Saccharomyces cerevisiae S288C: one gene and its partners. The protein of the gene in region 1 binds, or shares a complex with, the protein of each later gene. Each region holds a gene or a part of one and is shown on either strand. Other genes may lie near its edges. A codon is read from its position in the direction of its gene.

Evidence for each region.
Region 2: RTC1 (region 1) and IML1 share a complex: the UniProt entries of both Saccharomyces cerevisiae proteins name them as parts of the SEA complex.
Region 3: the proteins of RTC1 (region 1) and SEH1 are in contact, whole or in part, in a cryo-EM structure (PDB 8ADL), measured with the Saccharomyces cerevisiae proteins. Residues at the interface, in NP_014503.2 of Saccharomyces cerevisiae: Ser128 (codon at 4,176), Asn439 (codon at 3,243), Thr440 (codon at 3,240), Gly441 (codon at 3,237), Glu470 (codon at 3,150), Arg474 (codon at 3,138), Arg480 (codon at 3,120), Tyr482 (codon at 3,114), Ile483 (codon at 3,111), His486 (codon at 3,102), Val487 (codon at 3,099), Leu489 (codon at 3,093), Pro523 (codon at 2,991), Val525 (codon at 2,985), Leu526 (codon at 2,982), Glu527 (codon at 2,979), Asn528 (codon at 2,976), Leu529 (codon at 2,973), Ser530 (codon at 2,970), Lys531 (codon at 2,967), Asn532 (codon at 2,964), Thr533 (codon at 2,961), Thr534 (codon at 2,958), Thr535 (codon at 2,955), Trp536 (codon at 2,952), Arg537 (codon at 2,949), Asp538 (codon at 2,946), Leu539 (codon at 2,943), Asn542 (codon at 2,934), Gly543 (codon at 2,931); in NP_011415.1 of Saccharomyces cerevisiae: Met1 (codon at 1,554), Gln2 (codon at 1,551), Pro3 (codon at 1,548), Phe4 (codon at 1,545), Asp5 (codon at 1,542), Ser6 (codon at 1,539), His8 (codon at 1,533), Asp9 (codon at 1,530), Asp10 (codon at 1,527), Leu11 (codon at 1,524), Val12 (codon at 1,521), His13 (codon at 1,518), Asp14 (codon at 1,515), Val15 (codon at 1,512), Val16 (codon at 1,509), Tyr17 (codon at 1,506), Asp18 (codon at 1,503), Phe19 (codon at 1,500), Tyr20 (codon at 1,497), Gly21 (codon at 1,494), Arg22 (codon at 1,491), Val24 (codon at 1,485), Thr26 (codon at 1,479), Ser29 (codon at 1,470), Asp30 (codon at 1,467), Gln31 (codon at 1,464), Leu38 (codon at 1,443), Trp45 (codon at 1,422), Arg52 (codon at 1,401), Asp55 (codon at 1,392).
Region 4: RTC1 (region 1) and SEC13 share a complex: the UniProt entries of both Saccharomyces cerevisiae proteins name them as parts of the SEA complex.

Annotation. Positions count from the first base shown.
Region 1 is NC_001147.6:60,794-66,987, forward strand, and holds RTC1 (Rtc1p), read right to left. Parts: upstream 4,558-6,194; coding exon 532-4,557; downstream 1-531. Other genes in the region: CDC33 (translation initiation factor eIF4E), read right to left, coding at 1-231; BSC6 (Bsc6p), read left to right, coding at 4,828-6,194. UniProt on the Saccharomyces cerevisiae protein: Component of the SEA complex which coats the vacuolar membrane and is involved in intracellular trafficking, autophagy, response to nitrogen starvation, and amino acid biogenesis. May be involved in a process influencing telomere capping.
Region 2 is NC_001142.9:682,653-689,871, reverse strand, and holds IML1 (GTPase-activating protein IML1), read right to left. Parts: upstream 5,306-7,219; coding exon 551-5,305; downstream 1-550. Other genes in the region: HOM6 (homoserine dehydrogenase), read left to right, coding at 1-427; MET5 (sulfite reductase (NADPH) subunit beta), read left to right, coding at 6,587-7,219. UniProt on the Saccharomyces cerevisiae protein: Component of the SEA complex which coats the vacuolar membrane and is involved in intracellular trafficking, autophagy, response to nitrogen starvation, and amino acid biogenesis.
Region 3 is NC_001139.9:311,395-314,787, reverse strand, and holds SEH1 (Seh1p), read right to left. Parts: upstream 1,555-3,393; coding exon 505-1,554; downstream 1-504. Other genes in the region: ribosome biogenesis GTPase LSG1, read right to left, coding at 1-157; YGK1 (5'-deoxynucleotidase), read right to left, coding at 1,948-2,595; 60S ribosomal protein uL15 RPL28, read right to left, coding at 2,861-3,261. UniProt on the Saccharomyces cerevisiae protein: Functions as a component of the nuclear pore complex (NPC).
Region 4 is NC_001144.5:557,705-560,996, reverse strand, and holds SEC13 (GTPase-activating protein SEC13), read right to left. Parts: upstream 1,447-3,292; coding exon 553-1,446; downstream 1-552. Other genes in the region: PNP1 (purine-nucleoside phosphorylase), read left to right, coding at 1-200; ubiquitin ligase complex subunit HRD3, read right to left, coding at 1,708-3,292. UniProt on the Saccharomyces cerevisiae protein: Functions as a component of the nuclear pore complex (NPC) and the COPII coat. It is one of 5 proteins constituting the COPII coat, which is involved in anterograde (ER to Golgi) double-membrane transport vesicle formation.

The DNA of each region.
Region 1 (6,194 bases):
GATAGCCCAAAATTCTTCAACAGTTTGGAATGAAGTGACGGGACGTAATAGATCAGACCACGACTCAGATTTATCGACGGCTGGCTTTGTGTACCATAAAGTCCATTTGGTGTTCAATGGGTGCTTGACATCGAAGTGAGCACTGTCACTTAAAACAGTCTTTGGAGTAGCTGTGGTATCATCGACTGAAACGTTTTCTTCAAACTTCTTGCTAACTTCTTCAACGGACATTTTTCTTCCTTTCACTAGTTTTCAGACAAAAATGCTTTTATTTTTCGTAAAACTCCTAGGAAGTACTCAAGCACTAACACAAACACATATGTACAATATAAATCCAGAATTAACACTACCTCTTGCAATGTAAAACTCTCTTTATCAGGTATTGCATTAAACTCTATTGACGACGAAAAAAATTTTCTTTTCGGAGAGGGTAATAAAATTTTACCCGACCTTTTTGACGGGTAATATTACTCTAAACGATTTAACTAAACAATGGTGATGATATGTTAAACTATACATTATGTGGAGAACCTAGATGAATGCAACACCGGGGCAACCGCCGGGACATTCTTGTTCATTCTCATCGAGAAACCATTCTTGTATGCACTGGAAGTGACCTTCGTGTCCACAGGGGAGGATGACCATGGTCAGTTTCTTTAATGGTCTTTCACATAGAACACAAGATGTATTCTTCTTCTTACAAGAGTCACAATACCAGTATCCAAACTTGTCCATGATCTTCTTATTGCCCGTCTGCTGAGCTTCCGCTCTGAGCTTTTCTTTAGAACTTTCGTTAGTGATTAACTCACCACAGCGTTCGCAAAACAACCGAATGGAAGATTGGTCACCCTCAGAACCCATGATATCTTCGAATGGGCAGTATTTTAAGACGTCTGCAGCAATGCCGAAGAGTTCGTATCGATGTAATAATAACAAGAAGTGAGCGATTGCGTCCTTTGCAATGTCGATTTCTGTTATTTGGTATATCGTTTGGAAAAGAAATAAAATATTCACCGTCAATACGACGTTCCCAGTCTCAGTAGCTTGATTGTAGAGTTGTTTGATGAGTTTTTTCGTGTCCCAGGGTGGGTCAGCGATAATTTTCTTGCATTTGGCAAGCTTTTTCGTCAATGAAGAAGACAGTTGTTCCCTACCAATGCTATCTGGCCGTGATGGCGCATGTCTGGGCGATCCGATTATTGGTGCTGTATGGGAAGAAAGCTTTTTAAAAGTTTCTAGTTGCGAGGTTGTTGTGGCATAGCTTTGTAGCGACGAAACCTTACTGCGTGGGCTTACGCTGTTGTAAGTAAACCTAGGAGATATATTGTCATCTTCGTTACCTATGTCCGTATCTCCATTGTAACCGTTGGGAGAATGCAACATGAAAGTATCTATGAATGACTTGCGGTGCTCACGTTTCTGCAATATTGGTATACTTTTCGCGATAGGAGACGCGTGAAATTGTGCTGACTTAGTCGGTGAGTCATGAGGCTGTTCTTCTTCTTGATGTTCATGTTCGTCTTCCTCTATAATCACATCGTCACTCACTGTTTCTCCCATTTTAGTCCTTGACTCCAAGCGTTGGTTCTGTAGCTCTTTTAGCTTAGTTAAAACTTCATCTGAATCCTCATTTGGCTGCGCATAGGGGATTATTTCCGTGTTTTTGAGCTGCTCTTTGAGCTTAGAAACAGGTTTCTTTTCGGCATCACTTGGTTCATCAGAGTTAGCACGAAATGCCTGCGGCCTTTCTTCAACTAACGACTCAGCCCCACTTGTCCCTGCACCATCCTCCTCTGGGAACTCTTTTCCTGTTTTCAGATTTTCTCCAGCTTCGAAATCGGAGCTTTCATTGGCATCCATATTAGATGCGTTATCTGATGAAATTTGGGAGGAGGTCATCCACTTCAAGTCCCATAACAATGAATCTCTTATCAAGATCCAGATTTTGAAGTTGGTTAGATCATCTATGGATAGATAAACAGATGCGTTATGCGTTGCAATAGATATCAAATCTACCAGTGTTTGTATTTTTTCTTGCAGTTCTGCTTCCACGTTCTTGTCGATCTTCCTAGCTCTGTCATGACTTTGCCTACTTGCAGAAATGGAAGATATACTTGATCTGACATCCTTCTCGTCAAACTCCCTCGAACTACTGGAATTTCTTTTGGATTTTTTGTTATTTACTTTTTCATTCATTAAGGTAGCCCATGTATTATTTTCTGGAAAATTGTATTTTTTCAAAAGGTGACTTTCGATTATTTTGTCATCATCATCATCATCATCATCATCATCACCATCATCATTATTATTGGTAGTAGTAGTATTATCACCATGTGTTTCGGTTGCGTTTTTAACGACGTCAATGTTCTCTATATCATTTTTATATGCAGTGTCTGCACTGTCTGAAACATTATGCTCTCGAATATACGAAAACTTGAGCTGTCTCGCCAAATATTTGAACTTTTCTACTGGAGAATTTTTCATAGAAGAACTTTCGGAAATGACGTTCTTTTTTCTTGAATGTGCGATTTTGGTTAATCTTATGTTATTGAAGATCTGCGGTATATCCAAAGTGATGATACAAGGCGGTTCAATGGCGATTTCTTCTCTATTTTCAGTTTGTGGCGTCAGGGATGTCAATGATGCGGAAGAGCTGTTAAAAGAAGATGCTCCAGATGCTAATGTTAAGCTTTTTGTGCTAAACGTTGGGCCTGCTTTTAAAGTAGGCGGCCTCTCTGGCGTAAAACTTGTTAATCCAGTATGGCTAAATCCTTTTTTTATCCCTCCAATTATTCCCTGGTTCTCTGGATTGCCATTCTTCGGGTTTTTTATTGTACCTGGATGCTTCTTGCATGTGGTACTTGAGGTAGGTTGAAGCTCCGGTTCTACCACCTCATATGAGCCTATCTCTTGGTCAACTGAAAGTAAACCGTTACCATCCAAATCTCTCCAAGTTGTTGTATTTTTGCTCAAATTTTCGAGCACTGTTGGTTCTTTGTTAATGTCCCAGCCATTTATACGGGTCCCCTTATCGATATTAAAGATCAAGTTTTCGTCCCACCATACTAATCCTAAAGAAGGCGTTTCTGATAGGAGAACATGTTTTGGAATGTACTTTCTTGCCAAGGAATAGATGCGAACTTCAGCTTCGTCACCCATTGACGATATTCCTAGTAATGAATTATATATATTACTACTATAAGCAGGCTTGAACTTCAATTTAGTGACTGGATAGCCCGTATTAATTGTTAGTTTGGGAAATGCCAGCGAGCCGCTATTGTTCAAGGACGTATTGGGGGCATGTAACGAGGGAGAGTTCCCGTAATTGAGGACTGTATTTTCGGCGGCATTGGCATTGTCGCCAACAAACCAGAGGCAGCATTTACCGTCTCTACCACCTGTAGCAATGTATTCTTGATTGGGATGCCAATTTAAACAAAGACCGGGTCCTGTGTGAGCATTTAATTTTTTTTCGTATTGGGCAGGTTGTCGAAGATCAAACTTTAGCAAGTATCCCGAATCGTGAATAGAAGCAAATTTGTAACCGCTTTTTAAATTACCATACGTTGATGAACCTTGATCGTTCTTAGATGCAAAATTGTAACCGGGCATCCATTTTACATCTCTGATTGAGTCAGATGCGGTATTTATACTAATGTCAGATCTATTTGAGCTTTTAGATTTATTGGAACGTAAATCCCATATTTTTACACAACTATCTTGTCCACCACTTATTATTAGGTTTGATTCGACCATGTTGAAGTCAAAACTATTGATAGATCTAGTGTGTTCGCATAAGGATGTTATCAAGGGATTGTCTATCGAGGAACTCTTATTGAGATCATATATCGATATCGCCGTAGAATTGTTGCACACTGCAATACAGTTCTTGTAATTATTAAATCCAGTCTTAACATCCGCAATGGTACTAAATTTGTTCTGTCTTGTTCTTTTGCTCAGCTTGGGCAAAAGGGATGTCGTTCCCCTTGTTGAGGTGTTGCTATTAGGTGTTATGAAATCATGAACGCATTTGATAGATCTATCTGAGGGCGAGAATTTATAGAGCCCCAAATGAGTTTTACCTGCACAAACAAGACCGTTAATGTTTGGATCATTCACTTTGTCTATACTAGATAATTCTTTATCCACTTTGGTGGTGTAAATGAGTCCAGACGACTTTCTTGTATTTGTGTTGATTGCATTTTTCTTTGTTTTGATTTTCATGTTCGATTTATTGCTCATGCTTCCGGTTGTTTTTGCGTAAGGATTCTTATCATATGGCAAATAACTATCGTTGAATGAACTAGTTCTGTGACTTTCAGGCATATAAACCCCATTACTGTAAGAAAAAGTTGGAGTTAGATTAGGTCGCCGTATAGAATCTAACACGGAAGGTTGTCCACTATTTGAGTAATGATTCATTCGAAAAGAAGAATTGTTGCTTGACGAAGATCCAAGAAACTCGCCCTTGCCTATAGAACTAACGTTTCTGTTTTTTGGTATCGGGGTACTCCCCTTGGGAATGGAAGCATTTTCTACGTGTGGTGATAAGCTCATGATTTTCAACTAAATCCACTCAATAGCTCACTCGCCTTCAGCCAGCAATCGCACCATATGTATTATCAATCGGTTTTCCTTTTTCAGTAATCATCGTTATATATCGATGTTTTTGACAAATTAAAAAGAACGTTCCGAGACAGAAAAATTTAAACTCTCCGATCATGCATAGCTAGACATTCAACAGTATTCTAAAATGCTATAGTAAGAAACCAAGAATAAGATCCTAGGGATTCATAGTATAATTTAATCCATATATAAGTTTTCAGCATGGATGCTTCCTCGGTTCCACCAAAGGTAGATGATTATGGAATGTATACAACTGAAATTTCACATCATAACCCAATAGAGTTGAAAAATCTGCTATCATCATCAGACTCCAGAAGAAATTCTCAAGATGAAGATAGTCTACCTAACAATACAAACTTAATCAAAGAAATTGACTGGCAGGGCGAGAAAGTTAAAACATATCCACTAAACTATCAAACTGTACCACTAGTAAAGCTGCAGGTGATAGCATGCTTGATTATGTTCGTAGTCTTTGGTATGAACGATCAAACAGTAGGTGCACTACTTCCTACGCTAATTGAATACTATCATATATCGCGGGTAGATGTCTCAAACGTATTTATAGTCCAATTATGTGGTTATGTGATGGCGTCTTTATCAAAAGAGAGATTGAATAAGCACTTTGGTATGAGAGGTGGTATGCTTCTAGCAGCTGGTTTGTGTATAGTATTTCTTATCATTTTAGCAACTGCACCTTCTAGTTTCTATGTTTGTATGTTTTGTGGCCTTCCTCTTGGTTTAGGGATCGGCATCTTAGATTCTACCGGTAATGTTTTAATGGGCAGTCTTTTAGTCCATAAGAATGAACTCATGGGTATCATGCATGGTCTTTACGGGGCAGCAGCTATGGTTACTCCTCCCTTAGTTTCATATTTTGTTGAATGGGGTCATTGGTCTCTTTTTTTCCTTATTCCTCTGTTCTTTTCTATAATAGGCATGATTGTAATCTTCCCAGCTTTTAAATTTGAAACTGCAAGTAAATACGACTACCTCTGCTCTGTGGAAAACAAAGAAAGCAACAATGATGTGGAAGAAGCGGGTGATAACTCGCTGATGGAATCTACCAAGGCGAGCCCAGGATTTTTTGAACTTTTAAGAAATCCTGCTATTTTCTTGTACTCATTGTATTTGTTCCTTTACTTAGGTGCTGAAATTACAACTGGTTCATGGTTCTTTAGTTATTTATTGGAAACTAAATCAAGTAATAAGGTTGCTATGTCATACATAGCGGCATCGTTTTGGACAGGTTTGACTGTAGGCAGGTTGTGTCTAGGATTTGTTACTGAAAGATTCTTCGAAAACGAGTATAAAGCAAGCAAAGCGTACGCTTTTTTAACTCTATCTTCATACACCTTATTTGTGCTTGTTGGGTTGATCAATTCAAGCTCAGTTTTCTATTTCGTCGTGTTATTTTTTGTTGTTTTTTGTTGTGGTACGTTTATCGGACCATTATTCCCAAACGCAAGTATAGTTGCATTACAAGTATTGCCCAAAAGACTACATGTGAGCGGGGTTGGGGTTGCCGTCGCCGTTGGTGGTTGTGGTGGTGCAGCCATTCCATATTTGGC
Region 2 (7,219 bases), on another chromosome or scaffold:
GGATGTTGCTAGAAAGGTTACCATTGTTGGTAGGATATCTGGTGTGGAAGTTGAATCTCCAACTTCCTTCCCTGTCCAGTCTTTGATTCCAAAACCATTGGAATCTGTCAAGTCTGCTGATGAATTCTTGGAAAAATTATCTGATTACGATAAAGATTTGACTCAATTGAAGAAGGAAGCTGCCACTGAAAATAAGGTATTGAGATTCATTGGTAAAGTCGATGTTGCCACCAAATCTGTGTCTGTAGGAATTGAAAAGTACGATTACTCACACCCATTCGCATCATTGAAGGGATCAGATAACGTTATTTCCATCAAGACTAAGCGTTACACCAATCCTGTTGTCATTCAAGGTGCCGGTGCCGGTGCTGCCGTTACTGCCGCTGGTGTTTTGGGTGATGTTATCAAGATTGCTCAAAGACTTTAGATCAGTAAACAGACATATAAAAACATAGGTATATTTATATATAAATAGATAACATTATGCTTTACTATCCACGTTCGAATATTATTTACTTTGTGAAGAAACTCATCCATGTCATGGGGCTACTCAATCTTCTACAATCTTTCCTGTAATCCACATTTCCTTTGCGTCAAGGAAAATTGACCTTAACTTCTGATAGTCCAAGCAAGTTGATTTGAAATTTAGGATCACTTTTTGAGCATCTAATGAAGAGCTTGAAGCAGAATGAATTTTCCCGATTATGTTTCCCGGATTCACTCTGGATATATAAATGTTGTTAGGAGCTAAAAATAGGCAGCCATTTTCCCTCAATTCCGCGACGTAAGCACCCGTATGATGAATATATTGAACATATTTGAACTGTGGTTTGCCCCATGAATACATGATGTCAAACTCTATATCTTGATTTTGTAAAAATTTGGATGCCCTATTGTCTAATAAAAACCCAGATGCCTTTAAAAGATAAACGTGGTAGTAGAATTTGCTTTTAGCGAAAAGCTCCCTATCCTTGAACTCAGGATCTTCCCAAGGATTGATAGCTAACTTAATTTCCACAAAAGAGTGAAATGGATTGACCGAAGGGATAGTACAAAGTTCTTCCCAAGGAATTTCAATCATTTTCAAACCGTACCTTTCGCATAACCTTGACCAGTTCCCAACCAAATCATCGATCAATTTTGGGGTGGTAGTCAACCATTCCAATCTTATGTGAAAACAGTGGTCGGGGTTATGAACTCTGTCATAATGGACTGTACACGATTCTTGTTTCGAGGATTTTCCCGCGGGATCAACATCGATAACAAGAGAGTTACTCAGCATTAAAATAGGGCGTGATGGCTCTTTGGCGTCAGCAACTGAAGCATTCGAAGCGCTTATAGCAGGTACTACTGAAGAAAAAGGAGTCATAGCGCTTGGATCGTTTGAGCTACCAGTGGATGCTTTTCTCAACATCTGCTTTGGATCGGATAATGTAGAGCGATGGGAGTTTGTTTTTTCTAGTTTATTAGTGTCCATTACGTATTCAGGTGAGAACTGGTAAAAGTAGTGCCCGTCCAAAAAATTGTGCTTATTTAAAACGTGAACAAATAATCCCTCTTTCATCACCTTCTGCCCATATTTAATTGCATCTTCTCGAGTATCTATATCAGAGAAGTTTCTTATGAGCCAATTAACCATCTCCGAGCCAACAAAACACTTTTCATGCTTTTTCCAGTGCCATTTTCTGTTGACTAAAGTAATGCGATCTTCGCCACGTTGAATTTGATACGCCAACTTGGATAGTTCTACATTTCTGTTTAAAAGGTTATTATCATTAACAAAAATTGAATCTTTAAAATTTATAGCCGAGCTTTCTAAAGATGTTTGTTGCTCATTAATGAAGTTGTAAAGCGGGCCGGTGTAAAACATAACTTCAGGCTGTATTTCTTCTCTCTTAGTTTTTCTTCCTTTTTTTTCTTTCTCTGTTCTTAGTCTTGACCTCGTTATTGAGCCAATTAATCTTCTCAAACCCTCGACTCTGATTTCTTCTGGGTTTAAAGTTTCGCTTTTACCATTGATAACCATAGAATATGTGTTGGGAGGGATATCTGTTGGTAACACCACATATTTAGCTCGAAATCCGTGCCATTTCCTATCTATTAAGTTATCGCCATAACCTGCTAGAACCTGATCAATTTGATTCCAGTTCAAAGATTCTCTTTTAACATGAAGTGGGTCAATCATAGCATCACGAAATGAGCTCTCGTATCTCGTTTTAACCAACGGAATATAACTAGGAACCTGATCAAACAAGTTTGCTTCATCTTTTCTCAAATACCTCTCCACATCAATAATTCCACTTGACGAGCATGTTATTCTGTGTATTTCAGAGTCGATCATTAGATAAAGTTTGAACGCATCATTTTGATTGAAATCTAAATACTTGTTGACTACAGTTTCACTTTCACCACTTTCCCTAGAAAGTTCTATTTTTTCTACTTGTCGGCCCACGCAGATTTGAAAACCAGTTAACAGTCGCATATAAATCATATCACGAAGTAAGTCTTTGTATGTCTGATTATATTGTTCTTGATCTGTGTTTAAAGTCACTGAGTGATTTCTGAAGATGAAGTTCCTATCAAAATCATCCTTGGATGGAAAATCAGAAATTGTGATTGGTAACTCTGCTGGGGTTGTAAAAGACCTCCATTTACTATATTTTCTGGCCACATATTTTGGCCATACATCTTTCCAACGTATAGGCAATAATTCGTTGGCAAATTCACTACTTACCGGAATGGAAGGACTTTTAATATCCACCCAAGTTTCACTTATACGATGTTTCAATTGCTGTGTGAGGCTATAAGTGTTCGAGTCATCATGTTTTGATTTTTGCCCTTCTGTAATGAAAGCAGCCTTGTCTGACATATTAGAAAGTTTAGAGGATGTTCTGGTATGTGATGAGCCTAAATATGAGGAGGGTGAACCACTCATGATTTCATTACTAGGTAGCCCAAAAATGGATAGGTTTTTCTTTATTATCAAATTTCCACGTTTACTGATAACGTTTTCATCTGCCAGGCCTTTTTGTTGTAATTTCAGGCCACTTATTTTACTTTCAGAAGATGGTAGTGGTGTATTTGAACCTAAAGGTGAGTTATCCACATCATCTCTGAGTAATGTTGACTTTATTTTTTTATTTTTACTTGTGTCTATGTTCGAAATAAATTTTGTAATTACTCTTTGAGTAAAATCTTTCAATGAGTTCCTTTTGCTTAGTCCTTTGAGCGAATCCAGCGCCAAAGATGTGTTTTGGTTATCAGCAGATCTCACAGAGACCAATGAGTCATTCATTTCGAGATTGTCATTGTTAGAAGTGGTGGGAGTGCTAATTTTATCATTTGTAGTATTACAATCATCATAAAAAGAGGCCTCTATTGTTTTTATTGATAGATCTGGTATTACGTTTGGTTTTTGAATATCCTTAATGGCTGGGAGAGCAACTTTTGGACCTCTCCATATGAATTTTGTGTTACCGTGTGTTGTTGTTGCTGTTGCCGGGATTTTCCTTGCCTTCACAACAACATCATTCTCGAAGACGGTATCAAACTTTGAATTTAATTTCTTAGATTGTTTCGTATTAGAGCCAGCGCATAAAATTTTCACCTCGAAGGCATTTTTGTCGTAATCATTCATAAACTCGGATAGTGATTTGACTTTCTTGTTCAGCTGTAAATATTCAACATCCACTTCCCGAATTAACTCATTTTCAGTAATCCCCATCATTTGTAAGTCATAAATTTTACATCTTGGAGTCCATTCTGAGTTACTCTTTTTGTCATGATCATTCCAAAAGAAAACACTTAACCAAAGCGGTACACAATGATGAAGCTTGTTCTCAAAGTCTCGGTACCTAAAAAGTGGAACTATGTGCAATGGAGCTTTTGAAAGACATATTAAATCCATCGTCATTTCAAGAGAGAGTAGTTTTTTTCCTGTTAGCCTTAATAAACTATAATCAACGTCAAATAATCCAGACCCTGGTGAAATAATCATGACGTGCGTTGTAGTGTGTCGAAGATCTAATTGCTTGAAAGGATCCGTTAAAATTGTCGTGGCAAAATTGACCAATTCGAGAAAATTCGACTTGATTACAGGTGAAAATCTTCCATTCGCTACACTGTAACCCTTATCCGTTTGCTTGTTTAATAAATCTTTTCTGATTTCCATAAATTCTTCTCTTAATGTTTCCATAATATCAACCCAATGGATAATACTGACTTGATCTACAACTATCCTAAAATAATCCTGTGAATTTTTCAAAGATTCGCCGGGTGTTAAGTCCTTGAATGATGTATCAGACAAGTCCATTGATATAGCGAAGGCTATAGTGATAGTATGGTGGGTGTCCACATCTTTCCATTTTTTGAAGATCTTCGGGAAAAATGAATTAACCATCTTTTGAAATAATTGTTCACCAGTTTCTTCGAAGTTCCACATTTCATCAGTTATTTGAATCAAAAAAATTAATCTGGCAGATTCGGACCGAAAAATTATCCTTGTTTGTTCGCCAATATATCCAGAAACAATCTTCTTACCATTTCGATAAATTCCCTTAATAGTACCTCTGATAGAGTCTAAGAATGCCAGTCTTTGATCCATAAACACACATGTATCTACCAGCTTAGATGATAGAACCCACATATCACCTCTATTTAGTAGGCAATCTTTGATATTAAACTCTACCACATCTGCCTGTAAGTCAAATTTGTTTGGTTTCAATTTTATCCATATCCTAGACCTAGAAGGCAAATCTAACAAAGTTTGCAGTTGACCCGAAAGTATTGAAACATTAGATGTTTTTGCCCTTCTTTTAGTCTCTCCGTCAAAATCTTTTGCAATAAAATAAATTTTCTTATCTCCGTTCGATGCAGATGGATTTTTGTGATATGTTTTCAATTCTACCAAATCACCAGGTTTTATATCCGGGAACTCAACTAGATTTAGCATCACTAAATTCTCGGAAAATCGGGACTCATGATAGCCTAATTCAGCTTGATACGCCTTTATTTTCAGTCCTGGAATATGATGGCGATGGACCCGTTCCCCATTGTCATAATTGTTGTCACCACCATTGTTGACGTTATCGTCATTTTCCTTATTTGAAATCAGCTTTCTGCCGGAAGCCCTTTGTTGAGAACCAAACTGCTCTTTCTTTTGTCTTAAATTTCTATTGGAACCTACTATCAAATTACCCGATGATAAGGATATGCTATTTGCGTGAGTAGTATTGCTAGTCCTTGGAGTTTGTGAATTGATGGAAGAAATTGGTCTTTGTTTCTTCCCATGCAATTTAGCGAACATCCTTAAAAAGTGTCCCTTGTCAGTGCTGAGTTATTTCCCTGCTTAAAAAGTAGTTACAGAAACAATTCGTTGTTCTGTCACTTACTATCTTTTAAACAATAATGATTAACATAGATAGTGATTCAAATAGTCACGTGATCTCTTTTAGAGAAAGGACTTAATCCGTACACAATGATTTAATTTTTCATTACCTTATAATGTGATAGTCATAATAGCAATGAAGGATTAGTAATTACCAATATAAGAGCTCTAGCACATTAGCTATGAATTTGTCAGCCGCACCAAACTAACATAAAGGTCTTACTATGTTAAAAGTTCTTGTCCTTGAATAGAAATAAATGAATGAATCTAGTACCCTTCCCCATTCACCTAAGTTGGCTAGCCATATTTTCGGAAAAAGAGTGGGAGGAACAAGATGCTAGATAAACAAATATTCATGTTATTAAGCTTAGAATTTTGGCTCTGTTTTGTTTATTTCCAGATTTCTATTTTCTGCTATTCATCCAAAATATATTTTCTCACAAAAGCTGTTAATTTGAAACTAATGTTAAACAAAACATCTCACTTCAAATTGAAGCCAAATTAGAACCTAAGTAACCAACACACGCACAACTTTCATCCCTTATCCCACTTCTTTGAAAACTTTTAGAAGCCATTGATGGTATTGTACATTTACCTATCTTAGCAGATTCCTTATTAGCCGCCGAAATGGGTAATAAGTATTATAATCACTAAATACGAAAAATTTATTCATACCAACCCGCAACATGAACTACAAACCTTTGGGTATATAATGACAAAGACGTATCAAACCAACACATAAGGCTATTTTCAGGCAACTAATATGCTGTTTTATCTGCGGAATTTCACCAACTGACTTTTACTAAGCACTCAATAAAGATGCAGGTAAAATACGTGGATTTATGAATCCGGGTAATATAATTTGTCCACGTGATATTTCACAGAATGAATTTCATCACGTGCGTATTATCTCTTAACTCATAATGCCACAATTACCACCACACAGAGGCAGGAATGGTTTAACTGCTAAGAGACACTGGAAAATTTGAGTCATGGAGATGCGACGAATTACTGGCCGCTGCAAGCAGTTATATAAAGTGTTGGAAGACGATAGTTTTTAATGTGAAATAAAATTGGGATATAGAAAGGTTCCTTTGCTTGTTATTTTTTTTCCATCGTCTTGATATTTATTCAGATCCCTTATATACTAATAAAGTAACAGTAGGGAACGGGAACCAGAGAAAAACAAAAGATTGGCGAATGACTGCTTCTGACCTCTTGACGCTCCCACAATTGTTGGCGCAATATTCCTCTAGTGCTCCCCAAAATAAAGTGTTCTACACTACTAGCACAAAAAATAGTCATTCATCCTTCAAAGGGCTAGAATCTGTTGCCACAGATGCTACTCATCTATTGAACAATCAAGATCCATTGAATACCATCAAAGATCAACTCTCTAAGGACATTTTAACTACCGTTTTTACAGATGAAACTACTTTGGTCAAATCCATCCACCATCTATATTCTCTTCCTAATAAACTTCCATTGGTGATTACAGTGGATTTGAATTTGCAAGATTATTCCGCAATTCCTGCGTTAAAGGATCTTTCTTTCCCCATCTTAATATCTTCTGATTTGCAAACTGCAATTTCAAACGCGGACTCTTCTTATAAGATTGCTACAAGTTCTCTGACCCCAGTTTTCCATTTTCTTAACTTGGAGAAAATTGGCACGAGTACAGCTATTGAACAAGACATCGACTTTCCTACCTTGGAGATTGCTAACGAAGAGACTAAAGTAGCATTATCAGAAGCTACTGATTCATTGACAAATTTTGAACTGGTTAAAGGTAAAGAGTCAATTACCACTGTCATTGTTAACCTGTCACCATAT
Region 3 (3,393 bases), on another chromosome or scaffold:
ACCTCATTTCACCATCAGGTAAATACTCGATGGCATTTTCTTTTTGACGTGCATATTTAATAGCTCTGCCTAATTCAAGCTTATTTTTATTTTTACGGTGGGTAGGTTTTGGCCCTTTTGGCGCCTTCCATTTCTTGGGAGCTTCTTTTGGTGGCATAGTTGGTGGGGGTCCTCAATATCAGATTTAGTTTTGTGTTTAAAAGAAGTTGGCTTATAAGCTCATCACCTCTTTATTAAGTAGTAGAATGCATTTTCATTGACAAATTTTTTAATCTCGGCATTGAAAAATTTCCAGGCGAAAAGGCGAGGGAAGGGAAGCTTGATATAATTCGAAAGAATACCCAATATCAAGAATAATAATATCATTTGATGTAATATCATTATATTTGTAAGAGCTTTTTAAAAGCATCATCTTTCTTGATTCATCTGTTGCCTCGTATTATACAGAATAATGCACACGTATAAAGTACCAATATATAATGTTATGTATACATATATTCTTATTTATTGTTGGGCAGTAATTACTGACATACACTTAAATTCATTTGAATAAGTGGCTTTCCATAAACGTACCTTCCCATCATCCCCAGCACTGCTTAAGATTGTACCCGTTAAATTCCAAGACACGGACCAAACTTCGCCATTATGGTCATCATGCTCGCTTAGAAGTTCAACTTGCAAGTTTGATTGTAGCTCAGCTTTCTCTTCGGTATTTGAGTCTGATCTGCCCTGTGCATCCATGTCAACATCAGCACTATTATCAAACATATTTGAGTTAGTTAAAGACTCCTCTGAGGCCAGGGGACTTAGTTTTTCTGTGATTTTGAAAATTCTAATTCTACCATCTTTGCAACCTGTTGCAATGAGTTGATACCATCTACCAATGGAAGGAGCCCAGCTGATACTTCTTATTAAACTTTTATGACCGGGAAGTTTTGCTGCAACGTGAAGTTTACCGTCTTTACCCCTTTGGTATATAATCGCTTGTTCCAATGCAGAGACTGCGAGCTTTTCAGGAGAAAATCTCGAAGGACACCAAGAGAGACAAAAATCAGACTGTAAATGATTTGCTGGTGGTATAGATAGCACTTTCATCTCAGAAGTCAGTGTCCATGACCTTAGGTCAGAAGGTTCTAAGGCATCATAAAGTCTGAGGATTCCATCGTTACCCAAACAAGCTAATTTTAAGCCCAAATGCGCTGGCGCAAATTTTACACTATAAAGTGATCCTTTGGAATCATTCAGGGTACACAGCTTGTTCCAACGACGGCCAGAGCATTCTTCTTGGTCGGGATCTTCTTCCCATAATTTTACCGTCTTATCGTAAGAGGCTGAAGCAATGATGCGCCCATATTCTGGACTGGCCCAATCAATGGCCACGATACTACTGTCGTGAGCTCTCCATGAGTCACTGAGTTCCCAATTACTCGTGTCCTTGTCTAATTTAAAAACTTTAATATGTTGATCAGAAGAGCATGTTGCCACATGTCTTCCGTAAAAGTCATAAACGACATCATGAACTAAATCATCATGCCCACTATCAAATGGTTGCATATTCAGAAATATTATTGGGTCGTTCTTCTTCTTCCTTAGTATCTCTTCAGAAGGGAAACCTTGTTTATAATTTGGTTTACTTGTCTCTATTCAGTTCATGATTTTTTCCATCGTTTTGCCGAAGACTTAACTAACAATAAATAAGAGAAACAGATATATTAAAACTTGGTTGATAATGCAGCACGCACATTCAATCGCGAATAATATACAAAAGATTATTTCTAAAGTTACATATAATGCACACCGGGTGCTGGAAGTATAATACATGCAAAATAAAATGGGCACTATCTCGTTGAAAAGCATCAAGATGTTATTATAAATGATACGCACCACCAGGTGAAGGTTTGAGAAAAGAAAAAAAAGCACTAACTTTTCTTTCAAAAGGCCACATTATTACTCCTTCAAACTGTCGAAAAAGGCTTGTCGATCTTCCAGTAAAGATTGTGTCCATTTTTTAACTTCATCAGTTTTTATATCATTGATGGCTCCCAAAAATTGTTTCAAATCCTTCTTGCCATTATACTTTTGTTCGTACTCAAAACATTGAACCAACATTTCATACTTATCAATATCTTTGACATATCTTCCTTCCAAACAGGTCTGCTTTTCGTATGCTAACCAGTCATCAAGAATTTCCCTAGATGCGCTTTCACTGCAGGGCCTTATTATGCTTTCACAGAGATACTTGACAGTTTCAAATTCTCTGCGATGTTTCTCTTCCTTTGTCATTGGGTCATTAGGTGTAATATCACCAACTAATGACTCCGCAAAATCGTGAACAAGTGCGATTCTGATACATTTGTTACGATCAACATTCTTGTCCGTAATCAGCATGGTAGTTAAACCCATTCTGTACATATGGTCAGATATACTTTCGCATGGGTCAATACCATGGTCAACCCAACCAGTTCTTCTTTGCGTTTTCAAAAGTTGTATAATATTCAAAAACGCTAACTGATAATTTGGGTGAGGTTTCGAAAGAATTGCCAAAATCTCCCTAGGTATATTATCTTCTGGCTTCCAGATGTTAACTGCAGTCATTTTGTTTTTCCTGGTCTTTACCTCGAATAGGTTTTCTTGTTTTGTTATTTGTTTTCTTTTTGGACCCTATGTTTATATATGGATTTTGAAAATCTTTTAAAAAAGCGATAAAAGCGTTGGGATCTGCCACTGGTAACTTCAAAATAGACAAGACGAAAAAACGGTGAAAATGGGTGATAGAAATAATACAGAAGTAGATGTTGAATTAGATTAAACTGAAGATATATAATTTATTGGAAAATACATAGAGTTTTTGTTGATGCGCTTAAGCGATCAATTCAACAACACCACCAGCAGCTCTGATTTTTTCTTCAGCCAACTTGGAGACGAATCTAGCTTTGACGATAACTGGAACATTTGGAATTCTACCCTTACCCAAGATCTTACCGTAACCGGCTGCCAAAGTGTCAATAACTGGAGCAGTTTCCTTAGAAGCAGATTTCAAGTATTGGTCTCTCTTGTCTTCTGGGATCAATGTCCACAATTTGTCCAAGTTCAAGACTGGCTTCCAGAAATGAGCTTGTTGCTTGTGGAAGTATCTCATACCAACCTTACCGAAATAACCTGGATGGTATTTATCCATGTTAATTCTGTGGTGATGTTGACCACCGGCCATACCTCTACCACCGGGGTGCTTTCTGTGCTTACCGATACGACCTTTACCGGCTGTACAAAAAAAATATTGTAATGAAATACAATTTTTAAATCGTTAGTAAAACAGGTTTTCAACTGGACATTTTATCGAAACAAAAGAAACGTGGTAACTCTTTTTCATAATTGCGCTCTCTACAACCATTT
Region 4 (3,292 bases), on another chromosome or scaffold:
CAAGACATTGCGGATGGAGGGTTTTGGCCTTAAGTTTGATTACCAATACTTGCGTGGTGGATAGCCCTGCCAGTGCGTTGGACGAATCACCTGTACCCTTAGAAAAAGGCAAAGCGACTCACGCTGAAGTACTGGAGAATGGTAAAATCGCCTCTAATGACGTGCAAAACTTAATTGCTGCCGTAATGGGGGAATTATAATTGTTATAACTTAAATACCTCTATTTATTACATAGCGGGAAGATGTACCTTCGGCCGGTAGAATAATTTCGCCTGTTCTATTGAAGAAAAACAGTCTTATATATCTATTGTATATACGTCGATTATTTTTGTTCGCTTGTTTTTGTATAAGAAATATCTATGACAATATTAATATAAGAAGTTGCAAAAAAAAAACAAAGAAAAAAGTTGAAAAGTTTTTGAAAACTTCCACAAATCTTTAATTGTTATACGTTACTGTACATTATGCGTTTATTTCCCTTCAAATTCGTCGATAGACTCATTTGCATTCTTTTTTCTTTTGAGATGTTTCATTTTAAATTCTTGATACTCTTCACTGATGAACTTCACCAGCGGGTTCCCATTTACCCTCAAGATTTTCCTTCCATAAAGTAACTTTATTATCGCCACCGGAAAGAGCTAGTACATTACCTGACAAAGACCAACTGGCTCTCCATAAAACATCTGGGAATTTTTCTTCTTTTAATAAAGTTTTTTTCCATGGGCCTTGTTCATTGTCTTGAGTCCAAATAATACAGGTGCGATCTTGAGAAACACTGGCCAAATAAGAACGTAGAAGAACAGTAGGTGACCATGCTACGTCTCTAACCCAATCGCTGTGACCTTCTAAGGTGCTTTCCAGAACATAAGTTTGGGCATCTGAATTGTACTTCCAAATCTTTACCAAATTGTCAGCACCCCCAGTAACAAACTTGCGAGATTCTTTAGTACCGTTGTGTTCACCATCTTCTTCGATGGTAGCTGGAGCCCAAGAAGCAGAGTTAACGCCAATGGCATGAGCATCGATGATTATTGGGGAAGTAGTACCGTTTTCTTTGAACTCTACTACGGAGACCTTACCATCAGAGGAAGCAACCAGCAGTAGGGGGCCATATTCATGAGGAGCCCATTGAACAGAGTTGACAGAAGCAGAGTGGACAGCATGAACGGCAATTTGAGACCATCTACCGTTTTCTTCCTTCCAAATCAACACTTTACCATCATAAGAACACGATGCCAAAATGGTTCCGAATTTAGGATGTGCCCAATCAACACGCCAAACTGGGCCTTCGTGGCCAGTCAACGTGTCTATTAACTTGTGTGTTTCTCCTTCGACTTCAAAGATCTTGATTGTCTTGTCAGAAGAGCAGGTTGCAAGGCGCTTCCCATAATAGTCTAGAACAGCGTCATGGATTAATTCGTTGTGCGCATTAGCTATGACGACCATTTGTATGCTGATATAAAATTATCTGTTATCTTTGCGCTTGTAAGTTATTATTATTCAGAGCTGGAAGCCAATTGTATCACCTTCGCCAATGCACTTTCACTGTTCGAAATTGTGTTGATCTCAATGGGGTTAAAGCTCTAGGGTGGTAATTCTCTGTCGGTTTCGCTTTTTTTCTTCTCGCTGTTCGCTTTATTGAAAACTTTCGGGTAATGCGTGGGTGATTTCTATGGATAGTCTATGTATATATCTATACAAACCACATCATATGGCGAATATCTGAACATTGAAGTCCCAGCCCGGGGGACCTTGTGCTTGTTGTTGTTGTTGTTGCTCTTGCTGCCGGTTACCATTTGCATTTAATTGTGCTCCATTGAAACGGACATTCCAGCCTCTACGGGCCGCCAGTGTACTCATTAATATACTTAATAGGAATATCCCCAAGATACATCCCATCGTAACAAGATCCTCCATTTGGAAGCCCAAAATCTCGGAAGCCTCCTCTTGGTCGTCACCCCTATGGTTAGCTCCATTCTGCACTACAGTTCTGTGTTTGTGAGAATCTTCCGCAGCTTTGTCACTATCCTCCTTATGTCTCATTCTTTGTAGAATCTTCGTCAATTGCTTGTACCATGAAGTCTTCGAGTGCTGAGTATCTTCGTTAGGGTTAAGTGGCGAGGAAGGTTTCCAGTAGTTTACTTTTTCTCTGGTGATCCAAGTCAACCATGACTTTAGGTGTAATTTTAAAACACTCAATTTGGAAGCCAAGTAAAATCTATGATCGTGTTCTGAAACTTGGTCGTAGTAACGTTTAGCAAGATGGAAATCTCTGTTTACACCTAGCCCATGCTCATGCATGTACCCTAAGTTCCAGATAGCCTGTATAGAGTACTTCAAAGCTGCACCCTGATAAAGAGCCATAGCTTTACTGTAATTCTGCATCTGAAAATAGATATCTCCCGCGACAACACCAGCATCTATATTTCCCTGTTTAAACGCTCTTGTATAGTAGGAAATTGCCAAAGTTTTTCTCTGATCTGTGGTTCTTGGAGGATCCTCAAACTCATATGGCAACTGGTACATTAAGTAGGCGGCAGAGACTTGAGCAGTCTCGTAGCCTTGCTCGGCTAGTTGGGAATAAGCCCATAAAGCCACTTCTGAACGATCGTTGATTAATGCGGCAAATGCTGTCCTCAGTTTAGGTGCCATAATAGCTTCGTTTTTGTCAACGAATGTTTTGAACAGGTAAGCAGTGTTTTCCACACTACTCTTACTGTTCATTCCAGATTCGATCATTACTGCAAACTCATATATGGCTGGAATGAATCCATTCAAGTAGGCAGTTTCCATTAAGTTAAATGGGTCGCCGATTTTTTCTTCAGGGAATGAAGTGGCCAATTTGGATAATTGGAATTCTACGATTCCATTGTTAGCTTGTGTTTTCATAGCTTTCATATAATACGAAATTGCTTGAGAAATATTGTTTGTGATGTATTGATTTATTAAGCCCAGATCTATGCACGCTCTACCTATAGGTCCCTGTGCCCTTCTGCTTATTTCTAGCGACGTGGTCAGGATCTCTTCGGCCATATGAATATTAGGCTTCGAGGAGCCTTCGCCGGTGAAATACATGTGCCCCAATAATTGTAAGCAACGGACGTAGTAAAATACTTGCAAAGGATCCAAATTGTCGACATGAGGCTGAAATTCCTTGTACGTTAATTCCAACAAGTTTTTGGCGCGCTCACAATTTCTGCTTTGTGAATATGTTCCTTTATAATCATTCAAAGCTGCATAATATATCCGAATGATTCGTCTTTCACTGGCATCCTCGTCATCTTCGTCGCCA